Linked DNA regions of Coturnix japonica. The protein of the gene in region 2 purifies or fractionates together with the protein of the main gene of each other region. This does not show direct contact. Links are inferred from orthologs where the notes say so. Each region holds a gene or a part of one and is shown on either strand. Other genes may lie near its edges.

What was found.
Region 1: the proteins of FNDC3A (region 2) and TENT5C purify together in Homo sapiens (affinity purification with western blotting; 3 studies listed by BioGRID, with this or other methods). This does not show direct contact. The link is inferred for Coturnix japonica from reciprocal best matches to the Homo sapiens genes FNDC3A and TENT5C.

Annotation. Positions count from the first base shown.
Region 1 is NC_029516.1:70,989,860-70,997,695, forward strand, and holds the end of TENT5C (terminal nucleotidyltransferase 5C), read right to left. Parts: intron 5,382-7,836; 5' UTR 5,356-5,381; coding exon 4,183-5,355; 3' UTR 229-4,182; downstream 1-228. UniProt on the Homo sapiens protein: Catalyzes the transfer of one adenosine molecule from an ATP to an mRNA poly(A) tail bearing a 3'-OH terminal group and enhances mRNA stability and gene expression.
Region 2 is NC_029516.1:151,229,760-151,239,150, reverse strand, and holds the start of FNDC3A (fibronectin type-III domain-containing protein 3A), read right to left. Parts: upstream 5,650-9,391; 5' UTR 5,515-5,649; intron 5,449-5,514; exon of another isoform or gene 5,328-5,448; intron 3,034-5,327; exon of another isoform or gene 2,913-3,033; intron 1-2,912. UniProt on the Homo sapiens protein: Mediates spermatid-Sertoli adhesion during spermatogenesis.

The DNA.
Region 1 (7,836 bases), about 80 Mb from region 2:
CAGGAGGAAAACATTACTGTATAAATTCATCACTATTTCTTCACCTCACAGTGTATTTATTGCATATATTCTAAGGAATCCACTTAAGCAGGGAGTTGAGCTAGAAGGTTTCCAGAGTGCCCTTCTGAAGTTCATAGTACTTTGAACAGACAATAAGCTCCAAAGGTATTTCCAGCCACTGGATGCAATTCCAGTCTACTTAGAGGCAAAAATAACTTGAGGCAAAGAGTGTTTCACATATGTTTATTTGTACAATTATTTCAGTATCATTAAGCTCCAAAACCCAATTTCCAAGGATGACAAGTGAACACCACAGTGCAGGACAGTAGGTAGTTACTGTAACTAATCTCACAATTGGGCTCATCGCAAATTGAAATCTTTCTAGTATCTTATCCTGCCAGCTTAAAGAAACAAAACAAAATTACTTTTCCAGAACAGGTTCAAGATAGATTTTCCAAGAGCTGACTTCTGATAGGAAAATTAAAAAAAAAAAAATAAACAGAAAAAAAGCTTTTTCATTTCAACAAATCGTGAGGTTTTAACCAGAAAGAGAGACAAGCCCAATGCAAACACTTCAGTAAGTGGCTTCATCTTCAGGTAACGAAGAAAAGCTGGAGAGTTCCAACCACTCCCAAAGCTTCTATAACTATATAGCCCAGCAATCCACCTCAGAGCGAGTTCCACTGGAATTAAATAGCCCATATGAAATACAGTTCACCATATTTAACAGCTGACAGTAATGGTTTGAGCAACACTTAGATGCAAAGGCTAGAAGTATTACCATTCATTTGGCTCCCAGTGCCCAAATCACACATTTGCTACTAACAATGACCAGCTTATTGCTTATTCCTGCGTCTAACAACTACGGCACCCAATTCCATTAGTTTTTTATACCTCTCACTAAGCGAGCACTATCAACACACCAGCAGTTTAAAACTGAAGTAACTTGTTTGGAGAAAGCCTCTTAAAGTAATTTGGACTTCTCGTGTAGTGATAAGCAGAGTTCACTACCAAGAATGAGCAGCTATTCTATTAGAATCCCATGATATCTAGGCACAAAACATACCATATGCTCAACCCCATAACTCAGCCCAAAAATATGGATATCTATAAGTCCAAATACTTAAAGTCCTAATTGAGACCTGGTTTAAACCTTCTGCTCTGTAGACAGGCTACTCAAGGTAAAAGATTGCTTCTGAGTAACCATTTATCACAATCTCCTGCTTAGTGTCACAGCTAACAAGCTGAAGACAAGCACAGCAAGTTACATCTTGAGTTGAGGGAGCATAAGGTATGCTTTAACTTATCACTTTTCAGAACTATGGTGGTTAGCACAGGGATCTAATGAAAATGACTAAAACGCACTTCACTGGTAGGTTTCTTTAGTAGCATCCTTATCAAATAAAGAAGATTTAATCTCTTATAATGAGGAAGTAGTATCAATAAACTGTAAGTTAAAGGGAACTTGGTGATGAATATTCACAAACAGATGTTTCGGACTGGCTTAGCCCTGCAGAGTTTAAGCTACAGGAAGAAAATTGCTATTTTAAACTAGTCTAGTCTCCTAGAAGCCTAATCATCAGGAACAATGTGCTGATACAAGTCTTGCAGTCCAGTATTTCTGCAGTTCTGCTATGATGGCACTGCCTAGAAAGAATGCACTGGGGTAACAGCCTGAAGTTTAGCAGCCTCTCTCAAACTTCTACTTGATACAGAAGCAAGCAGAGAAGAGGCTTGCGCCATTTAGCACTTCAGGGAGACTGAATGAAGCAGGCACCCTGAACTTGGCCATGGGTCATCACCTTAGCATTCATTCTCATATTACTCCCAGCTGCAGGGTCCTCGTAAAACTGATCACAACCCAACTAGCATACAACCAGATTGAGCTGCTGCCACAACAATTTGAAACCAGAAAGTAGTAGACTGCAAGCAGCACCCTGACAAATCTATTCAACTCTGTATTTCAACTCTGTCTAAACTGCCCAAGTAGGATTATTTTAAGGCAAAGAGACACAGAACGCAGTCCCAGTAACTTTGTTTCTTCTGTTCAGTGACAATGGAGTAAGTAATAAGCAACCACAGGCTACAGTTTAACTACTCAAGAACTTAACAACCAGGCTAAAAAGCATTAGTAATTTAATATGTCGGACCCGGTAGCCCTGCAAAGCTTAAACCAAGGGAGTCAGCTGTTTAGAGAGCTAGCATTCTACACAAAGCTTCCTTGGAGGCCTCAGCAACAAGTTACATCACCAAGAGCACAAATATTTATTGCGGGAAGCTAGGTGCCCATAGCTCTGTCTCAGAAGGAACACAGGAGAGCTTTATTCTAGCACTTTTTTTCCCAGTAGACACATCCGGCCTGACACTAAGCAGCCAAGGCATTCAAAGGCTAGTAAGAAAAAAGATTACTTGCATCAAACTTATAAGGGCTCCTCTTCAGTATTGACTACTACTTCTGCATGAGCTGATACACACAGTTTCTAAAGTCCAGCTATGAGATCCCACAAGACTCAAGTCTAAGCTGATATTCAGATCAAACTCGTCCCTCTAGGCAATGGTTTTGGTTTACTTTTGGAACAGGCATAGCTTTACAAAACAAAAAAGTCAGTTGAAGCTATTTAAGGGATGAAAGCAATTACAAGTTCTTAAACAAAAGAACTTTCTCCTGGTGATACTCTGTAATACGCCAAGTATTGCTCTGCATGCAGAAGTAACTCGTTACATCAGTAAGCTTGCATTACCTTTGACCCTCAGGACAACACCAACATCACATCAGTTATAAGAAAAGCCTTCCAAGTAGTCAGTATTCCAGGTGAGAAGTGCCTTGTTGCTACACTAAGGTGGCCTTCATGCATTAGTTACGAGAAAGTAGGAGAGCCTGTAACATAACAAGAAACCTTTGGTCCTACTAAGAACAGGCAGTCCTTCCCACTGCCAAGTAAATGCTGCTCTGCTATTACTCTTCACATCTAACAGCAACCATGTAGTTTTATTCCATCTGCTTTTCTTTCTAGACTTAAATCATCTGTTTGATCCAGCACTTTGGTCTCATACACTCAGGGAGACAGCAAGAAGACATAGGAGTTAACAATTAAGTATCCTTAACCGTTGCACCAGTACATATTAAATAGCTCTAATTTTTGTCTTTCTAGTCTACTTCTCTGATTAAACAAAGAAAACAGAAGCATTTACAGTGTATGAATTTTACTATTGCAATTGAGTGAAAGTTGCCAGTTAAGGTATTACCAGTCAGTTTCTAGTACTGCTACATACAGAACCATCCTTATGAAGTACACAAGTGTCAAAGCAGAAAGTTCAGCACATGCAGTTCAGCCCCCTGCACCTCCAAGTGAGTAGATACTCCTTCAGAGGTTATTCTGAAACTAGGGGCAAACTTTCACCACATACAGCATCTGTACAGAGCTCTGCTTAGAGGTTACACACCTCATCAAGTAAAGTTTGAGACCACAATAGATCAAGAATTTCACCTCCCAGAAACACATGTTACACAGTGACCAAACTATTATGATAAACCAATAAGCTTGAACTCGTGCTTTTAGAGACAGGCTCATCAATCCATCACCAGCTTCAAAGAAACCTTCAACTTGAGGCAGGACCACATATGCCCATGCACTACAGGAAACAGCCACTGGGCCCTCTACAAGAGGGACATTATCCATACACTAACCAGTTCCACACAGCCAAATAGAAGCAGCCTAAGCTCTTACGCAAGAATTCAATAAGAAGCTGGCCAGAATCTGAACTGAAGATGTATAAAGTAGTGAGGTTTGTCAACAAAAAGTTTTGGTTTTAAATCAGCTTCTGCTCTGCACAATAAATTTCCCAGTCTTAGCTCTATTAACTACCACAGTTTACTGAATTACTCCACTTAGATGACAAGTTAATAGCCACTTCCAACACAAGTACCTAGTCCTGAAACTATTCCTTTAATATTTGGTTGCTGGTTCTCTTCTCGCAGTGAAGAGGTAATAAGGCTTCTCGGCATTTGTAGAGATGAACCAAAGAAGTTTTTCACAGGTTGCCTGGTTGCATATTCCTACTGCAAGCCAGGAAGTAATTAGTCCACAGTCTTACTTACTAGAAAACCTACAAATGTCCATTATTTGTCTATGTACACTCAGCTTTTAGAAGCCTCTGCTGAAGAACACTCAAGTGAAGCAATCAATTGCAAGGCAACCAAGTGGGGTAGGACTGGTTATATGGCACTGGAGGATTTGCAAGATAGTAATTGCTGAAGTTTACATCACTAACATACGGTGCTGGCTGGTAGTAACAGGTAACAGTAGTGGCGTTAGGGATGATGTTCTGTTCTGCCAGCACTTTGAGCGCCAGCAGAGAAATCAAGTTGAGAGTCTGTCTTCGCTCATGTCCCATGAGACACACAGTGCTCTCATTCACCACCCTGCGCAGAATCATGAGGTAGTCGTATTTGCTCCTCTCATCTTTGGAGAAGTGGTTCTGGAGGTAGGTCTCTAGTTTGCGCTGCTGATCCAGGATGTCTGGGAAGTCTATGAAGAACCGGGAACACATGTAGCGCTCTAATGTTTTGATCTCATCTTTATCCATGGGCCGGAAGTCTCGCACTAAGAGGTTGCTATATTTCAGAAGCCCACCACCTCGGATCTCTTCAGGATTTTTGGTAGCTATCAGCTTGTTCTGCAGGTGATCAAAAGCTGCTTCAAAATCTCCATACATACTCTCCCCAATCACAGTTGGATGGAAGTGCTCCGACATGGGATTTTCTGAGCAATCATAGTAAAAGAGCAGAGAATCCAGTATGATTTGGAAAGAGTCTACACTGAACTCGAACTGGCGTCTGATGCAGTCTACAAACTTCAGCTCCACATTCCTGCCGTGTTTGTTGGAAAGCGATATCAAACTCCAACGATCGGACTCAGTGGACACCTTAACCAGCTTCTGGATGTAGGCTTCCTTCAGTGTTACTGGACTGATTTTCAGTTTGCTTACTCCTTCTGGTAAGAAATTCAAGAGGGAACGCAACACCACATCTCGAACCAACTGAAACTCTGCCTCACTTGGAAGAGAAACTTGAAAAATGAGATCCAAGTCTTTGCAGCCCAGACCGTTATCTTTGACCAGGACGTGGCCAGCTGCAGAGCCATTCAGACGGACATCATGTACCGCAATGCCTGCTTCATTCAGCTTACTCCGGACGGTCTGAACTATGTCCTTCAGAGTTATCTTCAGCGTTGGGAAGTTACCCCGTCCATGAATTGGAACCACCTCTGTAAGAACTTCATGCAGGCGGCTGACCTGCTCCCAGTTCAGCACACTGCATGACATGCAATCTGTATTACTTCCTTTGCTTGCCATGTTAAGGTTTTTCTTCTCCAAAGAAACTGTAAGGAAGTGAGGGTGGGAGAGGGGGGAAGGAAACAAAAAACAAGTCAGACTTTCAGTTTGCACTGCCTAGCTTCACTTTCTGTCTACACATATAAACTAGAGAGAAATAATCGTTCGTGCTAACGATTAACAGCAAGCCTTCTACCTGAAGTGGTTCTCAACTGCCCCACAGGTATAGGCTCAAAGTTTAGAGTCCTTTAGTGATGACATAGTAATAAGAATTGAATAGAAGTAATTTGGTCCAAAGGGAAAGCCCCAACAAATAATGCAAAAACTTCATCCAAGTTTCCAAGACCATCTGCAGTACCAGCTGAAGCAAGTGACAATCATAAGCACAAAACACTTCCAAATGTTAACTCTGAACTTGTTGCATTACAACTAAAACTCAAACACCTCTCTCCAAATAACATGACAGTAAAAGACATTCAGATACTAGTTTCAAAGCTTGGAGATCCAATCCACTGAAAGTACTAATGTGTTCTAGACAAGACTTCTCATAGAAGTTTCTTTTCCCTTTCTTAATAACCCAGCACATAGCTCTGACACAATAAGAGCGAAGTCCACCTGGCTCCTGCAAAAACCTATAGAACTTCAGCATCTGGACAGAATTTCAGCTGTAAAGACAGATAACATAGCTTTTCAACATGCACTTCAGTCTCTAAGCAATCTTTCTTTTTCAGATACATTTCACAAGTAAACTACCTTTTTGGAAATATTCATACTTGCCCTGTCCTTTTGTTCATTTACAAAGGGAAAACAAGTTCATAAGAGCTGGCATGTATTCAGGTGGGATTAAGGCACACTTGTTAACGTTACAATAAGGACTTGAGAACCTCACTGACTAGTTCAAGTTTGAGCACTTGAAGGAGTCTTGTCACAGTTGACCTCTTCATCCCCTTGTGCTTCAGTTACTTGTTTTGAAGTATGTGGATGCTTACATATATTCTACAGTCATGCAACTCCAAATTGTATTAATACACCCTTCCCTTTTGAAGTGTTCCAGCTTTATCTAATGGCCAGGTGCTCCATAACAGCTGGGGACCGAGGCTTCATGTTCATCCACCTCAAACACTTGTGAAAGCTGTATTTGCAACTGCCAAGGTCAGGCTATTCAGATTTAGCTTACTTAACTCTTGCCTACCTAGAACTGTTTAGAACACAATCATGTATTTTCCTAGCATGCATCAGGATAGTGTATGGAACACTTTTTAAGCAAGATATAAACAGTAGCTGTTGTTATTCCTTGCTTGTTGCCTACCAGCTTCAACCTCTGAACAGATCATTTGACCTGTCACCTCCTCTGAGAGGAGAAGAATCCTAGCTCAGACACACAGCAAGGTAGCAAAACCCCCAGGGATGCAATTTCTGTCCCTGAGCACAAGCTGCAGCATTATTAGCTCTGTTGCTGTATCACATCAGCTTCAGCAGGCATCAAACAAAACCGGGATTCTTAAGATAACTAGTTCAGAATAAAACAGAAGTTTCTTTAAACTCAATCCTTCAGGCATAATCCCAGATGTATCAGAGCTGACAGGAGTTGCCCACAGAGACATTAAGTTTACTTTTACCCCAAAAATACTACTTCCATTAAATCCGTCAGATCACTAGAGAACACAAGATTCCCCTGACTTCAAGCTGCAAGTGTCCAAGCTCCTCCTTTCCATTTGTGGGCTCCTTAGCAGCCAAGGCAACACACACAGCACACCAGGCAACCAGAGAGGACTTGAGCAAAGCTTTCCACCCCATCACACACACTTGGTTCAGCTTGAAGATCTTTGCATTGGGTCACAGTGTACACACTCTCTGCCAGCACCTGCTGGGAAAGACGATCAGCTACTTCTCCTCCTCCATTCAGGGGAGAGTTTAATTCCTGCGCTGCCAGCTGATGAAGCATCTCCCCATTAAATCACTCATGTGTCGCCTGCTCTGTAAGATTTAAGTTCATGACAGCAGGAGCTTAGTGACTAATGCATGTGGTATACTAGCAGCTTGCACGCTTGTGTTTCATTACCACTGTCTTCCATCACAAGGTCAGACACCTTAAGGCACTCATCCACTGGAAGGATAGCCAGGAGAAGCCCTACCTATTTCTGCTGTCTGGTATCATGTGTGCTATGTTAGTTGGATGCAACGCTCAAATCACAAGCAGGAAAAGTTGAAAGTGGGACTCGTTTCTGTCACAGTGAGGGATAACAGCACATAACAGGACACAGCACCTAAAGAACCCAGGTCAGTGCTGCTGCAGACACCTCCATGACACCACAGCATCAACTTTAACAGGAACCGAAAGATCAAAGAACATAGCTTCCTTCACAAGGCTCCCAGGGATCGCAGCCAGCCAATTAGATAACCACGAGCAGCGACCCACACACGGTTCCGAGCGGCTGTTCCCCATAAAGCTCCATTAACCATCCCACCTCAGGAGACATCACACCCTCCCATCCCGTCCCG
Region 2 (9,391 bases):
AGTATTCCACAGCCTTTTTCAGTCTTCCTTTCCTAGTACTTTCTTGCAGCTTGCATTTGCTCTTACTGTAGAAGTCCACTAACAGCTCACTAATAGATACATAGAAGTATTAGCAAATAGTTACAGCCACAGTTCTCTCTCATTGCCAGGACACTGCATGTCACCTGTTATTGCTTGGAACTTCTTATGCTTCTATAAAGACATCTCATTTTTACCTTACAGATTACTTTGCAGCTACAGGCAAACTTCTGCTCATCATTAGTAATCAATTTGCAGCCCTACAATTGCTTCCTCACCCCAAAGTAAAGTTAATCCCCATGATGGTTTTGTTGCTAACATCTCAGTTTCCTCCTGCCAATTCAGAGTAGATAAAGCTCCCCCACTCAAAAGAACAAACACCAAAGAACGAAACCTTGCAGCCTGAAAACTGTCAAGTTGGAGAGGCAGCATTTATTTTGTGATCAAAGGATAAGATATGGTATTAGCTATGGGAAAAAGAGCAGCCTGGCCATACCCCACGCTTGTAGGATCTTACACTAACTCTTTGTTTACCACAGACATTGTATCTGCACACTGGGGAAACTCAATACCACTTACAAGGAAGTATTTACATATGTAAACTATACTGGTTAGGTTTTGTTTTCACTTTATACTAGATGTAAATATTTGTGAAGCTCATTTCCACCTCAAGTTATTCAAGATCAAAAGGCACTAAGAACCGAGCTTCACACTTCTAAACGCAACTCACGTATAACAATCAAAGCACATTCAGAAAGAGCTGCCATACAGACAGTGAAGTTGGCACTCTTGTGCCACGTACTCTATTCACTCCCTTCAGTTACCTGAATCCCGCTGCTATTCACAGCTGTCACAGTACAAATCCTTTAGGACCTTGTCACTTTCCCATACATCCATCAGTAGGGTTGTTTTCCTGTTTGCTGGTTGTTCTGAGGTTCTTTTCCTCCTCATAAATCACAGAGTGCATCAGTTCAGTTTTGTGACCTGTCATAGCTGCAAAGCACTTTTCTTTACATTATATTACAGAAAGTCATGTACTGCTAAGGAAGGAGGACTTACTTCAGTGTTTCTAGAAAGCAGAAGAGATTTACCACACCTTAGAAAGCGCTGATCTTCTCTTTCAGTGACAGATTGTAAGAATTAAGTTTACTGGTTAAGCTCGCATTGAAAACTTGTAGATATTTCGATAGTTCTTTACGTATAAATTAAGCAGGTAGTCAAGTGGAACATTTTCCCATTGCTCTTAAATGAAGGTTTGCAACTCTTACTTTGTCCTATGTACTTTAGAACAATGTTGCAAGGAAGGTCAGAGTATACTCTGCACTCCTACCATTATGCCAAACTCCTGTTGGGATTGCGTTTGGCACACAAGGTACCAAGAGTAACAATGTTAACCACAGTTGAGTTTGCCTGCCAAAGTTGGCTTTGGAACAGCACAACCATCGGGCCCAGTATGTCTATTTGGCTCTGTTTGAGAGGCACTGTGAAGACATTGGCAATGAACGTGGCATTAAAGTTTTAGTAAAGTGTTTGGAAAGCACGAGGATATATTCCATCCCTGAAGTTCTGCAGCAAACAGAAATACATTTTACACCACAGAATCACGCAGAATCACAGAATGACCTGGGTTGGAAGGGACCTCAAGGATCATGTACTTCCAACCCCCTGCCTGGCAGGGCCACCAAACATACACATTTACTAGATCAGGTTGCCCAGGGCCCCGTCCAACATGGTCTTGAACACCTCCAAGGACGGGGCATCCACAACCTCCCTGGGCAGCCTGTTCCAGGGCCTAACCACTCTCCTAGTGAAGAATTTCCCCCTAACATCCAACCTAAATCTTCCCGCTTTTAACTTAAAACCATTTCCCCATGTCCTGCTATTGTCAGCCCTTTCGAAGAGTTTACTCCCCTCCTGGGTGTAAGTTCCCTTCAGGTATTGAAAGGAATACACCAATACACCAGCAAAGGATAACAGCACAACCTTCACTCAATATTAAGGCACTAGCTATGAATTACAGTTTGTTATTGACAGAATGGCATGTTAAATTCTATTTCCATGTTGTCAAAAAAGTATATGACAGCTCATCAGAAACATTTTCACTGGTTCCAGGCTCACAAATACATGATGGAAGCACAGCTGGAACAGGACCAGATCTTAGGGGTGGGAGGCAGACTTCAAAAACATTTGTCCAACCTGAAACTAAATGCAGATTGACTGGAACAATTAAAGACGACAGCCTGCCAGAAACATGCAGCGCTATGAAGTGTTACAGACACTTTCTAAGCATTCTTCTACCCCATCAGCCCTACAAAACACAGACCCCCTGGATGGGGATCCAAAACACTGCTGCCCATAAGCAAAAGCACAACGTGTATCGATAAACATGTTTACGATAAAGGTTAAGAGTGTTTCCATGCTGGCATCAAGCGAACACCAGCATTAAGGAAGCTCAAAGTTGAATGTATTCGGCAAAACAGAAGGAAAAAGTGCTCATCTCTGCAGCTCGGGAAACATTGGCCCCATGAGCAAAGTAAACATTATTTGTGTTTACTGTACAAAAATAGCTGTTATGTACTCATTCCAAACTATTATCACTTTCTTCATCTACCAGCGGTATCTTTTAGTTAAGCTGAAAAAACTGACAATCCAAGTCAAATCTGTTTTTACTACATCTGGTCTTACAGGAAAAGCAATGGCTCTCACAATTCACCTCGACACCATAAAGTGCAGCTAAGCAGAACCTCACTACAAACTGCCTGAAAATTTTCCTCAGCCAATAGTCTTAAAGAAATGGACGATAAAATAGAGAGGTGTTATTGACAGATAGAACCAAGAGAATCCAACTCATATTTCAGATCATAGAGATGCACCAATGAAACATGACATGTTACCTGTAGACGCTTGAGCAGAGATTGAACTAGAAATCCCTTCACAATTGGAAGCTGGAGGTCAAACAAAAGGTGCAGAGCTGCTGGATGCTGGAGGGCAGACTGGAATTCCTCAGGTTCCACAAGGCAGGGACAAAGCACAGGGATGGCTGCAGACAACAATACTGTCTAGGAAGCAGGCCTGCAGCTTCATCAAAGCTGTCTTCTCTAATACCTGGCACGCACTACTTCAGAAATTACCTGCCAGCAAGTTAAAATAGTGAGATGCATAAAAGCACTGAGAAGTTAGAACCATTTAGGGAAAAGTATTGACCATGCTGAAAAATTGTACCTTCCCTGCAGTCAGGCTTCAAGGCTTTGGCTTCCCAGTTAAGTGCTATGACAGAACGTTGCAGTAGCACGTTCAGTCAAGTAGTTAAAGTTGCAATAACAATTAGGAAGGATCTCCATTAGGTATCTCGAGCCAGAACAATCATCATCATAACACTGACGTAGATCCAAATTCAAGCTAAATTAAATGGCCACAAGGCAAAGAATAACAAACAAAAGCATCCCAAGATCCGCAGAACTCACAGCCCAAAGCAGATGAGTTATTGGTCTGATTCATAATTCAAGTTACTGCAGTTCCATTACATTATTACCAATGAAAATCAAAAGCCTTTACGTTCACAAAGCAGTGGAAACTCATAGTTTGAAAAAGGTCAAGATGCCACTAAGATGAAATTAGATAACTTCAGCATTGTGTGTAAAGACCAGAACTTCAAGTAACTCTTACACAGAGTGTGTCATACAACAGAAGAAAGCCTCAGAAGGTCTCCACCTGCTCTGAAAGCCCTGAGACACTCATCTGATTCCATTTACTGTTATCTCCTGGAGTAATTAGCCTGTGACTGCCCAAAGCAGACTGCTCCCACCCTAACCAAGTGAACACACTGCTGAGTACCAGGCTTCCTGAGGTCAGAACTGTCTCTTTCAACCCAGGTTTCAGTAGCCAAAGCCTGACAGTCCTTGTGTAAGTGATTCACAATGTAAATTCCCACACTTCCCCCGGAAAAAGGCAGCAAGAAAACCATTCGGGTGCAGTCTGCCAAAATAAGTCCCACATTCAGACCTAGAGTCAAAATAACTTCCCAAGGAGGTGGTGGAGTCACCATCCCAGTAGGTGCTTAATAAACGTGTAGATGTGGTACTGAGGGATGTGGTTAGTGGGTATGGTGGGGATGGGTTGATGGCTGGACTAAACTTGAGCGGGGTTTCTTCCTCCAACTTAAATGATTCTACAACTTGCGTGCACTCTTCACACACAGAGCAAATCGAGACCACAACATCATCTTCCCAGGCTTGATCTGCACCCTCCCACTGCCCTGTGTGTTCAGTAGGAAAACCAGTTACCACAACCCCTACCCAACCTGCAATACTGAGCTCCGCAGGTACCTCCAGCTTCCACATGCACACAGCCTACTCCCCACATCAAAGCTCATTACTTCGACACTCCCCAACTGATTGGACTTCACAATTGTTTAAAACTATGGCTAAAATGCCACCGATTGCACTTGCTGATTGTGAAGGGCTGCTGAGTTGCTGTGATTTACGCTGTTACTTGTCATGGAATATACACACATCCATGATGGCTACAGCAACGTTTCCGTATAGCTGGGCTGCACAAAACACAAAGTTACCTATTGTCATAACAACAAAACAAGCTGGAAGCTCAGACAGGCTCGCTTCTACTCCTGCTAAAACCAACGCTACCAGACGTTCAATGACAAGCTGCTGTGAGATCCGAAGCCTTCAAGGCTGATTTAAGGCACTTACACATCCAATCAAACACAGACGTAAACGGTACAAAGAGCGTTTCCCAGGAATGACTTCACGGCACCAGCTGTTCTGGAAGCAGCCTGACACTCTGACACTCCGTATATCGCCTCGGATAGATTAAACTACCAACCCGTCGGGAGGTGGACCCCTCGTTCCCACCCGCTCTACGTGCCACCGACCTTCTGCTTATTTACTTCTCGCAATAAAAATCAGCTGGAAAGTTTCGTTTTTGCTTCTCGCTGGTTTCACTTTCCAGCTGCCCGCAAGCCGCCAAAACTTTCAGTTTGGGTTCAACCCGTTGCGATACTCGGGGAAGAAGGGACAGACACGAACACTCGGGCAGCACTCGCTGAGGTAGCGGGGAGGAGGCGGCACAGCCCTCACACGGAGCAGCACCCCGACCCCATTGCGGGGCACGGCGCGGTGCCGGAGCCTCCCTCCCTTCTCCCACCGCCTGTCAGCGCCGCTCGGGCCCCTCCCAGCCGCCCCCTCCCAGCAGCGGGACCCCCCCAACACACACACACACATACCCCGCCGGAAAGTTTCCCCACTCCCTCCCTACGGACACACGGTCCGGCCGCTCTCCCCGCCCCGACTCACCGCCATGGTCCCCCGGGCTAACGGTCCGAGCTCCGCCGGCGGCGGGCAGCGGCTGCAGGGCGGGGAGCGGGGGGAGTTCCCGATGGCGCAGCTCGGGCAGGGGCGGCGCTTCGCCGGCCGTTCCCCACCCCCTGCCCGCCCCTCAGCTACCTGCCTCACCCCTCCGTTCCCCTCCCCCTTCCCTCACCTGTCACTGGCCCCCGCCGCTAGCGCTGTCTCCGCCGCCTCCTCCCCGCAGCCCCAGCGCTCCCCTCCGCTTCGCCCGGCGGAGCGCGGCAGCCATCTTTGTGGAGGGCTGGGAGGGGCCGCGAGGGGGCAGTTAGATCCAATGCGCACTGCGCCTGCGCGGACAGCTGCTCCCGGCCGGGGGGCGGGGCCTGTGGGGCAGGTTCTTCACTCACCTCTCCCGGCCTTGGGTGGGGGTCGTGGGTCTGACCCCTCCTCATTGAGGTGTTTGTGCCCATACACACCGTGTCCAGCGTGCTGCTGGTGAGAGAAAAAGGGAAATAAAGCATCTTCTCCAGCTGCTTTTGTAAGGAGGAAGTGTGTTCCTGCAACACCTGCAGTGCCCAGCTGATGTCCCGAATGCTAATTGGTGATTCTCTTTTGCTTAACGTCTGTCCTTTTTCAGCCGTTGTGGATCGAAATGATTTTCCTACAGCATTGGGCTTAATGACCTTCTGCAGCAGCGAGCTGAGCAGAATGAGCTGCTCCATAAAGCGCTTCTGTTCATTTGCCTTCAAGTTCTCAGCTATTGAGTTAATCAGTTGCTATTTCTCTTGCATATCAGCTGTGCTCAGAGCACTTTTACAGCTTAATGGCACACAGAAGATAGCCCAAGGGTGCACCAATTGAACTCTGCCATCCTGGATGCTCACTGAAGGCCCCTCTTCCAGAACTCACCATTGGAAGCAGCATCCTACGATGTGGTTTGTCAGATCTCCAAAGCTGGAGAGACTGGGGCCTGATCGATATTTGGATGAGCCACCTCGTTAGGTGTTACGGACCGCGCTGCTGGTGATTCATCCGGTGGCTGTTGTCTGTCTATGAGTCAGGGCTGAACAAATGCCACTGCGCAGTGCTTGTGGGCTCTGCTGTCCACTTGCACAGCACTGGAGAGCTTTGCCAATTGGATCTACTGGGAGATCACTTGTGTGCTGTCCAGCTGCGCAGCATATGAGAGCTCTGCCAATTGTATTTGTTGGGAGATCATTTGTTTTCCTGGTGTCAAAACCCTCCCTTGCATCCCTTGCAGGTGAAATTAAGGGATCGGTGCAACGTTTTGTGTGTGTTGGTACAGATGGTGGTGAGAGGGAAAAGCTGAGAGTGGTTTGGACTGTTCTCCAGTCCAAAGGAAATTAATTTGTTCAAGGAAAGACTGGATGTTGTGTTGAGGGACATGGTTTAGTGGGAGCTATTAGTAATAGGTGAACGGTTAGACTGGATGATCTCTTAGGTCTTTTCCAACCTTGGTGATTCTATGATTCTATGATTCCCTAGCTGAGTACTGGACCACATGGTGTGCAGGTTTGCATTGCATGACACAGTCTGCTTCCTTCTTTTTTAGGTCACAGATACTTAAATGCCTGTGTATAGAATTCCATTTTCTGCTGGAAGAACATCTAAAGTCACCCGAAAATCATTCTGAGTAATATAAGGACTAGGGAAAGCCATATATAGTGATCTCTTTATCTCTTTTCATGGACTGATGTGAATAAATGGATTTTCTAAAACAAAAGAAAATTAAATTGAGATTATTTACCAGTCTAAATTGCATGTGCAGATTTCAGCTACTTGCAGATGATTGACCAAATGCTCCTGCTTTCATCCACTGTAGAACTTCCCAGAAGAAGCCATGGAGGCGTAATTTCTTTACTGTCTTGTGTCAGATAGACATCCAAGTACTCATGAAAATCATTTTATGAACTTGAGATGGTAGCTAAACCCAGTATATGAGACAAGAGAAGACAAATCCATCAGAAGATTTGCAGTTTATCCCTTAGGTTGTATAATTATTTGTCTGGTAGTGCCTGCTTTGAGTAGCCGTCTTTTCTGCAGTCAAATTAAGATACCAGCTATAGGGAATTCTGAAGAATGGATGTGAATATTTCATGTTTGTATTAAGTTGCATTAACTCATAAGAAACAAGCAGCAATGCAGTGCTTGGGATAAGGACTGGGCAACTCATGCTAATTTCAAAATCTGGGTCACTTTAATCAAATTTCCTTTTTTTCCATCCTTGCAGGGAAAGCAGAAAGTCTCAAATTCCGAAGTTAAAAGAGTATGACTGTTGCAGGATTCACCACTTCAACATACAGCAGTTGTGAGTTGAGTTGAGTTACTTGAGTTACTGCTTTTTCTATGTCCTTTCAGCTATCCTGTATCTTCACCTGAGCTGCACGACAGTCATCATATCTGTCCAGGTCTCTTTCAAAGGTACTGCTGGCCAGCAGGAGTTATTTACTGCCTTCTGATTTGTCTGAAATGAGTAGAACTGTAAAAATCCCTCTTTAATGTCGCAATAATGTAACAAAATTAAAGTTTGATGAGGACTGTATAATGCTAGGCGTGATTCACTTCAATGGTAAAATACATGTTTATGGGGGAAAAAAGAAGGAGCCTGAGATTTAATTGATATGATCAGCAGGGTCTCCTTAACTTGTTCTTTATTTTTATCAAAATATGGATAGGCACCTTAAAAAGACACAAATCCAGGAATCTCTGCCTTCTTTACCTGCTTTTCATGACAAAAATGGTGAAGACAATCATTCTCTGATAGGATTAAACCAGCTGAATATTTAGAATTATGGTACCAAAATGAATGGGAGGATTAGATGGATAAAAACATTAATCCAGTCATAGACAACAAAATTCAGCCATTCAGATCTGGCATTACGGGAGCAGCTTTAACATAGTATCAAGGATTTGGGGTGATCTGCTGTTTGTTTTATTCAGAAGGTGGGTGGAATATGCTATTTCCCTTCCTGATTCATCTCCTTTTCTGGAAGAGATGCCACCGGTTTTAACAGGATTACTTGGAAAATAGTGCATTGCTCAACAAGAGCAAGCATGGCCGATCATTTCCTTAAGATGTTCAGGTGCAAAAACAAACCAAACTCTATGAGAAAGAATTAATTAGTGTAAAATTTTTTCAAACATTGTGCCAAGATTAAGACTTCGAAAACATTAGCTGGAGCCCTACTGAAAGAGTGGTCTAATTGTGTAGCGTTTAATTACTTAAAGGTGTATTTGCCAACTGGAAAAGCAAAATAAAGACAGGGATTGCATGCACAGAAAGAGCGACTGCACAGTTTAGATCCTGAGTTCATTTATCTCACTTTATTAAAATAGAGAAATACATATATGGCACAGAACTACTTGTTGTAATACTACTTTTTAAACTTAAGTCAAAAGTCCCATGTAAGAGCGATGAAATGTTCCAAACAATGACATTCACCTTGGGATTCCTGAAGCTGGTTCTTTTGTATCTTGTAAATCTTAGTTGTTTCTGGATGAACGTATTGAAATCAACCACTAGTTGAACTATGATTTTTTTCCGTCATGAATTGAAAGTATCATTTTATATAACAGAAAGCTTTGAATCCGTACCTAAAGCAGTGATTGTCAACACCAACAAAGTGGTATTTATTGGCTTCATAACTTTTAAAAACCGCTGATATTTTTTTTGGCTTTGTACACTGGGGTAATTATGAACTGTCTTTAGTGATCCCTTAGCAAACTAACAGTTGGCTGCTAGTAGACAAAGTTGAATAATAAAGCAGACCTGGTCATAATGGAAACATTCACAAGAAGCATATTTTGAATTTGTGCTTCTTGGAATACTTTTGTTGCCTTTCTTTTCAGGTCATGATTAAAAGTTAGGCATCGTAAGATCTATTGGTTGGAAGCAGGAACAATTCATATGCTAAATTGAAAGTGTCCGACACACTAGTCCATATTTATTTAGGGATTTTTTTCTTTCTTGAATGTACAGAATTTCATACCTGAGCTTATTTTTTTTTTCTCACAGATTTGCTGTCATGATAAACAGTTTCCATTTCGTC